3 linked regions of the Rattus norvegicus genome follow. The protein of the gene in region 1 interacts with the protein of each later gene in a pairwise test. Links are inferred from orthologs where the notes say so. Each region holds a gene or a part of one and is shown on either strand. Other genes may lie near its edges. The genes, in order: Hprt1, Iscu and Sdcbp.

Region 1 (4,288 bases):
ACTCCCTGTTTTTGCAGAGGACCTAAGTTCAGTTCCCAGCACCCATACAGTGGTCCACAATGATCTGTAACTCCTGTTCCAGGGAATCCACCAGACTTCTGGCATCCTGGAATGCATATGCTTCACATACATACATGTAGGAACTCATATGTACAAGTAAAAAAATAGAAAACTTGTATTCATTAATAAATTGGCTTAGCTTATATATTCAAATATCAACTACTTAACAATTGCTAAGTTAGAATTAAAACCCTCTTGGCTGGAAAGATGGCTTGGCGTGTGAGAGCACTTGTGCAAGCATCAGGCCCTAGGTTTAGATCCCCCAGCACCCATATAAAAACCAGGTGTGGCTGCACCTGCTTGTAACTTCAGCACTGCGGGGCCAGATACAAGCAGATCCCTGGGCCTTGTTAGCCAGGCAGACAGCCTACCCATATCAGTATGTATGCTCCAGGTTCAATGAGAGACACTGATTCAAGGGAATAAGAGAGCAAGAGACTAGGATACCTAATGTCCTTCTCTGGATTCCATATACATGCATGCACTTCACATATATATCACATATGCCCCCCCACACCCCTCTAAAAATAACTTCAATCAAGGTCTTACTAACCTGTCCATAATCAGTCCATGAGGAATAAACACCTTTTCCAAATCTTCAGCATAATGATTAGGTATGCAAAATAAATCTAGGTCATAACCTGGTTCATCATCACTAATCTGCAAAAGAAAGACAGCTGTTTCAAAACAAAGCATTATAAGATATCCACATTTAATTCAACTTAAATAATAAGTCTTAGTTTACCAGAGGAATTTAGGTATGAGGGGGTATTTAGAGCAGTTAAATTTTACCGTTTTTGTAATAAATTATACTTCTCTAAGAAAACCATGTGTCTTATTGCTGAAAAGGGTCAAGAATGAGAAGTAAAACATGACACAGGGGTTGGAGATTTAGCTCAGCCGTGGAGCGCTTGCTTAGCAAGCGCAAGGCCCTGGGTTCGGTCCCCAGCTCCGGGGGCGGGGGATGACACAGAATTCCCTTTGGGTCACAAAGAGAAAAAGAGAAAAAACTGAGGTATGACAAACGTGACATATATAGAGAGAGTTCAGAGATTGAAACTGGGTCTAAAAATTTTACTTATGTTTTATGACTGGGTCTCTCATTGAACCTGGTCAACCAATTTTGCTAGTCTAGTTGGCCAGGAAGCGAAGGGATCTTCCTGTCTCTGCCTTCTCTGTGCTGGGGTTCCAACTTCAGGTCCTGAAGATGACATGGCCGGCACTTTATAGACTGAGCCATCTCCTTGATCCCCTAGATTATGTTATCTGTTGTGTGTGTGTGTGTGTGTGTGTGTGTGTGCAGGTCACCAAAAAACTGATCCTTCAAAAACTCAAAGTTAAAAGTCTGAGATGATTACAATCTAATACAATAACTTCACAGAAGATACTCCAAAACTGTTTTGCATTGTACCATATTGGTTATATTAGTATGTCCAGAGCCCAGCATACAAAATATTTAATAGTATTAATGATATGGTACCTTGGTGGAGAAAATATAGTATGATAGTTTTATAAATATACATGTACCTGTACACACAGAAAAAAGTACAGTAAATTCATTTAACAGCTAAAGCGGCACATCCCTATTAACCCAGTCCTTGGGAAACTGAGGTAGAAGTTCCTGAATGAGGCCAGCAGGTGTTACTAAGTAAATCCCAGGCTAGCTAGCTAGAGGCTACAAAGACCCTGTCTTTAAAAATATCCCCAAACTGTAAATCATAAAAGCCATTATCTTTGACAGTAAATGTTATAGTGAGATAGTGCAGGACGTGGGTGGGGTCTCTCTCATGGATCCAAACTGGGCTCAAACTCACTGTGCAGTTGACCTTCTACGCGTGAACCTTTGGTTTCTCCCTCTTGAGCATTTGGACTATGAACATGAGTTATCACAGCCCAGTTTACCTAGTGTTCAGTGTCAAACCCAGGGTTTCATGCATACTAGGCAAGCACTCCATCACAACCATCTGTAATGAAATCCGATGCCCTCTTGTGGTGTGTGTGAAGACAGCTATAGTGTACTTACATATATAATAATGAAATAGATAAAATTATAAAAAAACAAAAAATTCACATAATATTTACATTAAAATACATTTACTGGGTTGGGGATTTAGCTCAGTGGTAGAGCGCTTGCCTAGCAAGTGCAAGGCCCTGGGTTCGGTCCCCAGCTCCGAAAAAAATTAAAAAAAAAAATAAAATAAAATACATTTACTAGCAAAAATAGAAATTGGACATTTGTATCATATAAAGGAACATTCAAAGAGTATTTTATAAAAAAAAGCAGTTTTGTAAGTTTTCTTAAAAAAAGGTTCTGTGTTCACTCATATTTATTTATTTATTGATTTATTTATTTTTATTTTTTTATGTGCGTACACTGGCACTCTCTTCATACACACAAGAGGGCATCAGATCCCATTAACAGATGGTTGTGAGCCACCATGTGGTTGCTGGGAATTGAACTCAGGACCTCTGGAAGAGCAGTCAGTGCTCTTAACTGCTGAGCTATCCCTCCAGCCCCTGTAAGCTTTATTAAGGAAATTTTAGTTTATGTTTTGAGGAAAGATGACAGACTGGCAATTTTATAAGAAAAAAACATTCATGCCAGGCTCATGAGAATGTATGTACTATAATCTAACAAAAATAAACTCGGATCATTTCAAAGTACCTTAGAATCAAGATTAGTATACCACACGGACTTTCCTGAGGCATACTCACAAGCTCCACCGGCTCACTCGCTGTTTCTGTTGTGGCATATCACACCCAGGTTTCATCATACTACTGCACCTACCAAAATGGCTCAGTGCCTGACTACAGGTTCTACAGGTAACTACCCAAGAACTTCAAAGACTATTTCAATTAAACCCCATATGAACTCTGCCAAGTTCATCCCAGTCTTTTTATGTGTGTTGAAACAGGGTCTTATTATGTAACTCTATCTGTGCTGGACCTAGATATAGAGACTAGACTGGCCTCACACTTGCTATCATCTTCTCTCTGCTTCTTGCGTGCTGGGATTACAGATGTGCACCCAACTCTCAGTCATGTAGCCTAAGAATTCAAACAGATAATCAGGAATTACTCAAAAATAGAAATTCTATTTCTGTCATCACACCAAACTATTCACCAATGCAAAAGTCTTGATTTCTAATTAAAACAGATTCATGTTTGAGAATTTTCGTTTTGTTCTGAGATATTTATATTGTTATTTTAACAGTAAAAATTTTGTTTCTGATTTCAGATAGTCTTGGCTCTGTAGTCCACCCTAACCTGAATCTCATGATATAGACCAAGCCATCCTCAAACCTGGGGCAATCTTCCTGCTGTGGCTACCCATATGATGGGGTTTACAAGTATGAACCATCATACCCAATTTATTAAAGCCACAATGATACAATTCTTCCCCAAAAAGCAAAAATAGTGTTACAACTCTTCATATTAGATGCTTGTGTGTGTGTGTGTGTGTGTGTATTTACATGGGTTTGAATGTGTGTATGTGAAGGTCACACCTAGCAATTTCTGTCCATTCTAAAACTTTGAACATGCTGATTACTATTCCTAAAATACACAACAATTTTCTATTATTCTCACACACACACCCTTTCCTGTTTCATCACTGGCTGGTTTGGAACTCTCCCTGTCCTTGCTGGGATTAGAAGTATGTTCCACCACAACTGGCTTGTTATCCAACTCTTAATTCATAATAGTTTTCTTTTTTGAGACAGTCCCATGAGCTCAGGCTGGCTTTGAACTCACTATGAGGCTGAGAATGATTGAAGCCAACCTTCTCCCCCTGCCTCCCAAGTGAGTCCCACCTCCATTTAATGGAGTCTTGCTTGGGCCAATGAACAATGTTATTTTACTACAAAGGCTTACATAATCTGAATTGTATACAATGAGCTGATCATAGCTTAAGTTCATTTCCCCTTTTTATATTATTTCTGATAATGTACCTGTGTAACAAGAAATTTTATGTGGAAACCACAAGAATTTTCATGTGACTGCCATTAATACAAATATGCATTAATTTATAATAGGGATTTGTGCTGGGCGTGTTGGCATATACCTATAATCTCAGCATTCAGAAGTCTGAGACAGAAGACTACCAACTCTGAGGCCAGCCTTGGATACATAGTGAGACACTAACTTAATTCAAATATATTAAAATTCTTCAAAAACATTAAAACAGATAATAGGCTATCCTCAAGATAATTTATTTTACGTCTTAATA
Region 2 (5,054 bases), on another chromosome or scaffold:
CCGGAACCCACATGGTTATGAGACAACCGCGTCCGGGCATGCATACAAACACAAGTTTAAAAATACAAAAAGGATAAGAGCCCTGATTGGGTTCAGCCTGAAAAGATAAACACTTTCAGCTGAGTGTCACCTTGGGCAGGAGCCTCAGTTTCCCAGTGAAACCGGATTAACACTACTTCCCCAACCATGAAGAGGATCCAATGGAATACTTTACGGAAGTTCTGGGCACCCACTGAGCTCGGGAACCGGGGACCCACGGTGGCTGACAGCGCCCTGGAGACCTCAGCGGTCTCCATAACCACGGAGGACCGAGGGGGCGGGCCGGGCCTGGGGACCCGAGGGAAGAGAACCCGCCGCCCACCCCGGCCCACCTGCTCCTCCAGCCGCTCGATCTCCAACTGGTTCTTCTCCTCCTCCTCGTCGTACTCCCACTCGTCCTCCCCGGCGGAGCTCTCGGCGGAGGAAGCCATGGCGGCGTCCTCCTCATCCCCATCGCTCTCGCTCACACCTTCCTGGTGCACCTCCCGCTCAGGGCCCTTGGCTTTGGCTGTCTCCGCGCTGGACAGCACCTTCCTGCCCACACCCGCCGGCTTCGCCTCATCCTCCTCTCCCTCAGCCTCAGGCCGGGCCTGGGGCTCAACCTCCGGCTCGGACGCCGAGGATGCAGTCGCCGTCGCCATCTTGCGCAGCCCGCGATTCTCGGGTCCTCCCTCGCCCGCCGAAGCCCGGCGAACATTAGGCTGTCCGTGGCGTCTGCCTGACCAAAACTCCGCTCGGCGCCAGCGGAAGTGGCACGAAGGGCCTCAGGGCGGAGGAAGCCGTGAAGACTCCACCACTGATATTATCCTTAGGCGTCTCTGGACGCCACTGTCAGGAAGAAAGGCTCACTAGCATAACCTGCGTCGGGCTACGACCTTGGACAGCTTTTGGGTCTTGGGACCGGAAGTGGCAGCCATACCGGCAGTTGTGTGTGCGTGATGGCCATAGTTAAGGTCCAGACGCCATCTTAGGAAGGTCAAAGTCATTTTTTTTTTTTTTTTTTTTTTTTTTTTTTTTTGGACTAAAGGATTTCTGCAAGGCTCAGCCCGCTCCAGTGCGTTGTTGTTTCGCAGCAACCGGCCCTCAGGTGCGGACAAAATTCCAGTTCCTCCGCGATACAATGCACCATTCACGAGAAAAGCCTATCTCTCAGTATAAAGCTCCCTCCCCTTTCTAGCACCTAGTATCTAACAGGTGTTAGACGCATCGATTTTGTGACTATATAGCCAATGCTAACACATTACAGTAAGTATCGTCTCGGGATGCAGTGGATTGTAAAACAAACATGTACATGTCGAGGAGGTATGGTGTTTGTTTCTTTTATACTCCTCGTTGTTGAGGTAGAAAAAAAAAAAAAGAACACTGCTGTTTTCCTCTGCACTGCCTTTCTCCTTCATCAGCAAGGTTAACGAGACAGGAATTGCTTTCCTCGGGACTCCCAGGAATTTTTTTTTTTTAGTGACACCTAGTGTACACTTGACATGTTATTTGCTCCGTAGATGAAACGGCTGCCTTTGAATTAGAAAAAAAAAAGCCTGAACCTGAACAGAGACTCATGCAAGCTCGAATCCCAAATAAGCCTGAGTCTGAGCATCCTCGGGCAAGTCAGGCCCGGCTTCCCACTTCTGGGCGGCCCCACGCCCATCGCAGCACCAGACAAACGTGACCGCAGCTTCAGACCTTCCCGCTCTGCGCCGCGTCCACGCCCCTTCCGGAGGCGTGACCAAAGAGACCGGCCGAAACGCGTGCACGCGCTTGGAGCGGAGAGCGCAAGCGCCAAGCAGCGGTGACGTCATACAAGCGCGCCCTCCCTTCGGCGTCGCAGAGGTCGACGCAGGTGCAAGCCGGCAAGATGGCGGCGGCTGGAGCGGGCCGTCTGAGGCGGGCGGCGTCCGCGCTGCTGCTCCGGAGCCCGCGCCTGCCCGCCCGGGAGTTGTCGGCTCCTGCCAGGCTCTACCACAAGAAGGTATGGGCGGGCGAGGGGGTACGCGAACCATCGAGGGGACCTGCAGCTGTTGCACAGATAACCACCGAGGACCCCGCGGCCACCTCAGCCCCGCCGCGGCCGCTACTCCAAGTGTCCCAACTCTGACAGCCCAGAAGGGAGGGTCCTGGTATGTCGTGCCGGGGGTCAAGGGGCAGCACACATACATGCATGAGCACACGTTGCAGCACCGGCATGCTCACCAGCTAGGCCATTGCCCTGGCTAATTGGCCTTGAGCAAGTCACTGACCCTTGCCCAACCTTTCTCTTAGATCTCACATGGGTCTTCTGCAGTCCCTGTGTGTAGAGCGCTCGGTCCAACAAATGGAAACCACTTATGACGTTTACTATAGGAGCTGATGGCCTCGAGCTCAGCCAAGCACCTAGGCAACATAAAACTTCGATTCTCGGTTATTTATTTGTGGTGAGCAGAAAGTATGGAAGGGTAGTTTACGGCCCCCGCCTTCTAGGGACGTTAAAGTCCCCTTGACATGAGACTCACTCGAAAAAAACAAAACTACCACAAGCTGTACAAAACACCAAAAGTCCTGATTAGATGATGCGTGATGGAGCCCCAGGGCTTAGATTCAAGGTGCAGATGAGGGTGCCTCCTGGTGACTGGGGCTGGGGGGGGGGGTGGAGGGCACTCGGTTTTTATCTTGGTGTGTCCCTGACTTTAATGGCTGTTTGTTCTGCTCTGGCTTGGGTGCCATTGCCCAAGGCCTTCACCCCAAAGGGAAGGTTGTTTTGTTGACATTAGCTACAGGACCTTGTGCGAGCTGGCAGCGTTAAGGCACCAGAGGGCGCTCCTGCATCGGGGTGGCGGCGTGTTTGTTTACAGCCACCAATGACTCATTCATTCCCCAACCTCCGGCTCATTTCTAACAGTCACCTTGAAACTTCTTGGGAAATCTTACATTTGGAGCCATTTTTATTCTTGGGATTTTTAAGTGTATAATTCTCTTTGTGTATTGTGTTTGGTAAAAACAGAAATGGTGCTTGAGCACAGACCTGGTAGAATGTCTGAGTCAACTGATGGCTTTTGGTTGACAGCCCCTTGAAATGAAGGTGTGGCTGAGTTTTCACCGATACCATGGACGTATCTCCAGTACAAAGGTCGTTGGGGAGGAGATAGAGTTTAGGTCTCACTTTGAGCTCCTATCTCTGTCCCATACAAATTGCTGATCCGAGGGAGAGAGGAAAGCCTCAGTGATATCTGTTGATCTGCCATTTCAGGTTGTGGATCATTATGAAAACCCTAGGAACGTGGGGTCCCTTGACAAGACATCTAAAAATGTTGGAACCGGACTGGTGGGGGCTCCGGCATGTGGTGACGTCATGAAACTGCAGGTACTGGCTGGATGAAAAGGATCACCCCCTGCACCCCAACAAGAAGTTTGCTCACAGAGCATTTCATCTTGTCTGCCATTCCTGTGAGGAGGGATGGGCGGCTGACAAGGATGGGTCTCTGTTCCGAAACAGGTGGCCTCATTCTCCACAACACCACCACACCAAGGCATCGGTAGATCTTGCTTTCACCGAGTGAAAGACTTTGTGACTGTTCTGACCAAATGAAGGCCCCCAGTGAGAAAAGGAATGTGTTAACCAAACCTCTCCAGGAAAAGGAAGCGGGGTGGAAGGTGGTGGGCTGGGCCTAGGTCAGCTGGAGTTTTAGCTCAGCCTCAGCCTCCTTAATGGCAGGCAGAAAAGAGCTGTTAATTACAGTTGGTGCCCAAGAGAAAGGGATTGATGGAGACCTTGGTTACAGACTCTGTCAGTGCCTGAGGTGCTGATGGGGGGACATCTATAAACAGACCCCTGCAAAATAGGCACTCACATACAGCAGGCAAGGGCCGAAAACAACCAAGCGGGGTGAGGGGCACTGTTCCTTGCCCCTCTCCCAGCTGAGCCTGTGTGGACCCCAAGTTTCACTTTCTGTCGCCAAGTCCTTTGAAGCAAAACACAGTGATGAATGTCATGGCATGTGGAGTCATAGCAAACCAGGGCTCGTGTGGAACACTCACCTCTGGAAGTTCCCGGCTCCCGGATTCCAGGTGTCAAGCTGTGGCCTCTCAGCTCCCGTCTCTTTTCTAGATCCAGGTGGATGAAAAGGGGAAGATTGTGGATGCCAGATTTAAAACATTTGGCTGCGGCTCCGCCATTGCCTCCAGCTCCTTAGCCACGGAGTGGGTAAAGGGGAAAACGGTAAGGCTGCTCAGAGAGGGAGGGAGGGAGGGAGAGAGAGAGAAAGGGGGGGGGGAGCCCATTTTTCTAAGGTTTAATTTCTCTTCCTACCCGAGCACTGATTACATTCCTTACTCTGGAAGTTTAAGACCATCTTGTTGCTTGAGGCAGTGTGTTAGTCACTGTTGTCACTGGTTGCCAGTTCAGTAGATGAGAATCGCCACCAGGCCTCCCAGCAGTAGAACTGAAAGATGGTTTTGGGCTTTCCCTGATGTCCCTAAGGTCACCAAGGTCCCCTAAGAGCTCCTGAGCAGCATTTACTGTTTGTTTCATCCCATCTCCTCCTTCAAGGAGGAGTCCAGAAAGACATGCACAGATTGCAAAAACAACTTTGTCGGAGGGAGGAGTTGGAATTCAAAATCTGGGGCTGGAGAGATGGCTCAGTGGTTAAGAGCACTGACTGCTCTTCCAGAGGTTCTGAGTTCAATTCCCAGCAACCACATGGTGGCTCACAACCATCTGTAATGAGATCTGATGCCCTCTCCTGGTGTGTGAAGACAGCAACAGTGTACTCATATACATAAAATAAATAAATGTTTTTTAAAAAGAAGCTAAGGAGCATTTAAAGAAAAAAAAAAAAGACCCAGTAGCTGTGAAACTACCCACACCAGCACAAGGTGGTGGCACACGGCACACCAACCTGTAATCCCAGCTCATAGAAGGAAGGGGCAATTTTTTTTTTTTTTATCTTTATTAACTTGAGTATTTCTTATTTACATTTCAATTGTTTTTCCCCTTCCCGGTTTCCAGGCCAACATCCCCCTAACCCCTCCCCCTTCCCTTCTAT
Region 3 (4,288 bases), on another chromosome or scaffold:
CAGTATTCAACTGAATGAGGCTGATGTAGGCAGGAAAGACGAACACTACCTTTCCACTCAAAAGGCTGAGGGCATGATTGTGTGTAGCCCTCTGTCCATGCTTCAGATCCGTCATTGTGCTCGTAAAGCCCTGGCCTCACTGAAGCTCAAGTGTGGTATAGTTCAGCAGAGGTGCCTTAGCACCGTTCTAGTTTACTGCTTGGCACAGGTCAGTCAGTGGGATGCTGCCTGTTGCTACTGCTTCATGGCAGATCTCATGTCTGGTCCACCACAGACTGTAGGCTTGTGCTCGGTTCAAAGTCTGATTGAACCAACAGAAGTTCAAGATAAGTGTGTGTGTCCTGGGAGTTTATTGTTAGAAGTACTTTGTTGTTGCTATTGTTTATCCCCAGTTTTATTGATTATTTTAAGAGATGAATAAAGTGGCCTTTGAGCTAAAAAAATACGGAATTGTTACCCCAAACTATCATTTAATTGTTTTTATAATTGTTTGTGTTGAGTGTTGGCCGGCATATTTGTGCACCATATACATGCCTGGTATCCTTACAGGTCAGAAAATAATGCCAGGTCCCCAGAAACTGGAGTTACATGTAGCAGTGATAAATTATTTTCTTGTTCTCTAGGGTATATTTGTTCAACTAGTCCAGGCTAATTCCCCAGCCTCCTTGGTTGGGCTGCGATTTGGGGACCAGGTGCTCCAGATCAATGGTGAAAACTGTGCCGGCTGGAGCTCCGATAAGGCACACAAGGTGCTCAAGCAGGCCTTTGGAGAGAAGATTACCATGACCATTCGTGATAGGTGAGCTGCTCCCCACCAGTGACACTGAAGTGCAAGCCCATATTTAAATAGAGTTGTCTACTTTTTATTTTTTAAGGCAAATATTGATTTATTACATCTTGCTGTTAGGTGTTTTTCTTACGTAGTTAGATTCTTTTCATAGAAGTCTACATTTGCATATACATTTTACCACCCTGTCTGGGAATCTGTCCTCTAAGCAAGCTTTCCTGTCTCTCTCTCTGGAAAGGTTATATATGCATCAGGAGTAACTGATGTAGGAAGGGCTGTGGCCTCACTCTGTAGCACACTGCCTAAGCGTCCAGTGCCAGGGCCCCTTGTCATGAGGACTAAATGTCAGAGAGTTCCTAAGGACTCAGTTTTGAAACCAAATCTGGTCTGGGGTGGTTGTGCAGTTAAGTAAAAGAGGATGAGTCATTCTGCATGGTCGGTGGTCTACTTTTAACCTGGAAACTGTACAAAAATGATTTGCCTCTTTTCTTCCCAGCTCCCACAAGTATTAAGACCAGTATCACCACTCTGAGAGAGTAAAAGTGACATTGATCAAAAAATGTTTATTAAATTCCTAAATGTAATAAAAATGGAAAAGTCCATAAAATTGTTTTAATGTGTAAAGCAGAATTTCATAAAAATTGGACCAGGTCTGGCCAGTTTGGTTCCCATACCCAATAGGGTGGGTCACAGCCGCCTGTAATATCTGTTCCTTTCTTCATAGGCACCTGCACTCACATGCACAGGCCCACCTGTGCCTTTTTTTTTAAAAAAAAGCAGTAACATTGCAAATACAAAGACATCACATGTTGGAATTCACCAGACTCAAACATTATAAACCTCAGGGAACCTCTGTACAGATGTTCATCTATCCGGAATCTCAGGGAACCTCTGTACTGATGTACAGCTATCCGGAACAGAAGCTGTGGAGGGAGCTTCATGGTGGATTTTACATTTCCACCCTAGAATGTATTTTTTGAGTTACTCACAACTATAAGCAAATTCATGAAAGAAAAGAAATCACTTTAACTTCTTTTATAACTCAGTGTGGACCAGCTGCATTCAGTCCTTTCCTTTGCCCTAACCTTTACCGTATTGCTTTCCATGTTGTATCGTGTGCACCTTTGTTTATGTGCATACACTATTGGCTAGGTTCCGACTGGGAGGAAAGTGCATCTCGGTTAACTCCAGCTCATTGCTGTAGTGAATAAAGCAGGACTAAGTGTAGGGGCACAAGTGTGTCAGCAGCAGGCTGTGGGGTTCTCTGCATGTAGTGTGTGCCTAGGGGTGAAGTAGTAAGGCCATGTGCTAATTTAATGTTTTGTTTTGTTTTTTTTTGTGTTTTATTTTTTTTGAGAAGCTTCTAAACTTATTAGTGGCTATATTAATTTGTACCCTTGTTTTTTGATAATAGTCATTTTGATGAGTGGAGGGGTAGTATCTTGAAGTAGTTTTAATTTGCATTTTCTTGATGACTGAGCAGTTTTTGTGCGCTGAGAGGTTGAGACAGTTTCTCTGTGTGGCCCTGGCTGTTCTGGAACTCACTTTGTAGACTGTTCTGTCCCTGAACTTTAGAGATCTGCCTGCCTCTGCCTCCCGAGGGCTGAGGTTAAAGGGTGGAATTAAAGGCATGTGCCACCTCCCCGCTGAACTTTTTAACATAGTTACTGGACCTTTTAAGTTATTTTGAAAAAATATTTTATTAGTTCATTTGACCGTCTGTTGATTGGTGACTTTATTTCCTTAGTATGTAATTTCTGCAACTATTTATAAATTCTGGGTGTTAGCAGCTTGTCTGAAGTTTGGTAAAGGCTGCCCATGCTGTGGCCTTTTGCTGTGCTGATTGTTTCCTCTGGTGTACAGAAATATTTTGTTTCCATGTGGTCCCATCTTGAATCTTGGGCTTCATCCCTTTACTGTTGCTGCTCTACGCAGAGTTGTTGTCAACCTCAAGTGCTTGAAGGGTGTCCCTGTGGTTTCTTCTAGAAGTTGGAGCCATTTAGGATTTAGGATTCTGGTCCATTTTTATTTTATTTTAGTACAAAGTGAATCTAATTTCACTCATCCACAGGTAGAATCTGTTTTGCCAGTGTTGTTTCTTGAATTGTTTTTTCCCCATTATATGATTTTGCTTTTGTTGCCAAATCTTTTCGTGCACTCACTCCGTTGCGGTGGTCTTGTGTTTACACCAGCCCCAAGAGTTCTTCAGGCTGTAGCGGTGGGTGCTCTGCTCCTGAGTATGGCAGCCCCAGCAGCGTCCTCGCTCCTCAGCATCCCTTTGGCCCGCTGCACTCTTCTAAGGGCCCAAGGGAATTCTTGGTTTGCTTTTTTTTCTAAACCTGTAAAGTCCAATATTAGAATTTTGATAGGTATTGCATTAAATCTGCAAATTAATTGTGTTGTAGTAAAGGTATTTTTATAATAATTCGGCCAATCCAGTTGCTTGGACTTGCCATCATCAATTAACTTCTGTGGTTTCCTTTTTCAGTATCTTTTGCATTGGGAGAATCTGTCACTTACAGAAAGGGCTTTCACATCTTTGGCTAGATATATTCTTAAATGATTTAAAAAGTTACTTTGAATGGAGTTGGACTAATAGGAAGGTAGAGCTGCAGACTTTCCTGCTGTAAACAGAGCACGTTCAGAAAGTCAGTCAGCGAGCATTAGTGGCATGACAGCTTCTGCAGGCAGAGCTCGAGGCCTTTTTAACTGTAGCTTGTGCCTTCCCGTCCAGTCAGGCCTCATGAACCCCCACTCACTGCTTCTCTGGTGGGTCTTTCACATTAGAGCCAAGTTTTGCCTGTAATCCCGGCCACCTAGGTGGGGTCCTGGCGCACGTGGTGGGGAGAGCTCATCCTGCAACTTACACTTTATGCATAGCACACCTAGTAAGTAAGTGAAAGGAACGAATCCGTGAAAATGTCAAAACTGAGATGTGGAAAGTGCAGGGAAGTTTAAGGCTTAAATGTCTGAGACCAGCTGGTTCCAGAGGTGCTGGAAGGACTTAGTGGTTTAGTGGAAGGGCATCTGGCTCACTGTTAACGCAAGGTATGTGGGCTGTGGAGGGAAAGCGCAGTGATAACTCCATGGAGCACTATGCTCTCTCCTCACACTAACAGGGTATCTCAGTAGTGAGTCAGTCAACCCGTGTGACATGTTAACCATAATAGATTATTAGAAACACCTAGCGCTTACTGTAGCAACATACCCCATGTGGCAGAGTTTGTAGGCATGCGTGTGTATTGAAATAGGAAGTGGAAGTTTCCGTCTAACACAGCCCTTATGCTTCAGACCCTTTGAACGGACAGTTACCATGCATAAGGACAGCAGTGGACATGTTGGCTTTATCTTTAAAAGTGGAAAAATCACATCCATAGTGAAAGACAGTTCTGCTGCCAGAAACGGCCTTCTCACTGATCACCACATCTGTGAGATCAACGGACAGAACGTCATTGGCTTGAAGGTAAGGAACTCACCTTACCTTGAAGGTAAGGATCCTGG

Evidence for each region.
Region 2: the proteins of Hprt1 (region 1) and Iscu interact in binary tests that used the Homo sapiens proteins (3 or more experiments, as listed by UniProt). The two-hybrid records come from large-scale screens. The link is inferred for Rattus norvegicus from reciprocal best matches to the Homo sapiens genes HPRT1 and ISCU.
Region 3: the proteins of Hprt1 (region 1) and Sdcbp interact in binary tests that used the Homo sapiens proteins (3 or more experiments, as listed by UniProt). The two-hybrid records come from large-scale screens. The link is inferred for Rattus norvegicus from reciprocal best matches to the Homo sapiens genes HPRT1 and SDCBP.

The regions. Positions count from the first base shown.
Region 1 is NC_086039.1:137,661,809-137,666,096, reverse strand, and holds part of Hprt1 (hypoxanthine-guanine phosphoribosyltransferase), read right to left. Parts: intron 721-4,288; coding exon 614-720; intron 1-613. UniProt on the Homo sapiens protein: Converts guanine to guanosine monophosphate, and hypoxanthine to inosine monophosphate. Transfers the 5-phosphoribosyl group from 5-phosphoribosylpyrophosphate onto the purine.
Region 2 is NC_086030.1:48,515,493-48,520,546, reverse strand, and holds the start of Iscu (iron-sulfur cluster assembly enzyme ISCU), read left to right. Parts: upstream 1-1,850; 5' UTR 1,851-1,891; coding exon 1,892-2,005; intron 2,006-3,259; coding exon 3,260-3,373; intron 3,374-4,117; coding exon 4,118-4,228; intron 4,229-5,054. Other genes in the region: Sart3 (squamous cell carcinoma antigen recognized by T-cells 3), read right to left, coding at 372-680.
Region 3 is NC_086023.1:24,307,794-24,312,081, forward strand, and holds part of Sdcbp (syntenin-1), read left to right. Parts: intron 1-623; coding exon 624-799; intron 800-4,078; coding exon 4,079-4,250; intron 4,251-4,288. UniProt on the Homo sapiens protein: Multifunctional adapter protein involved in diverse array of functions including trafficking of transmembrane proteins, neuro and immunomodulation, exosome biogenesis, and tumorigenesis.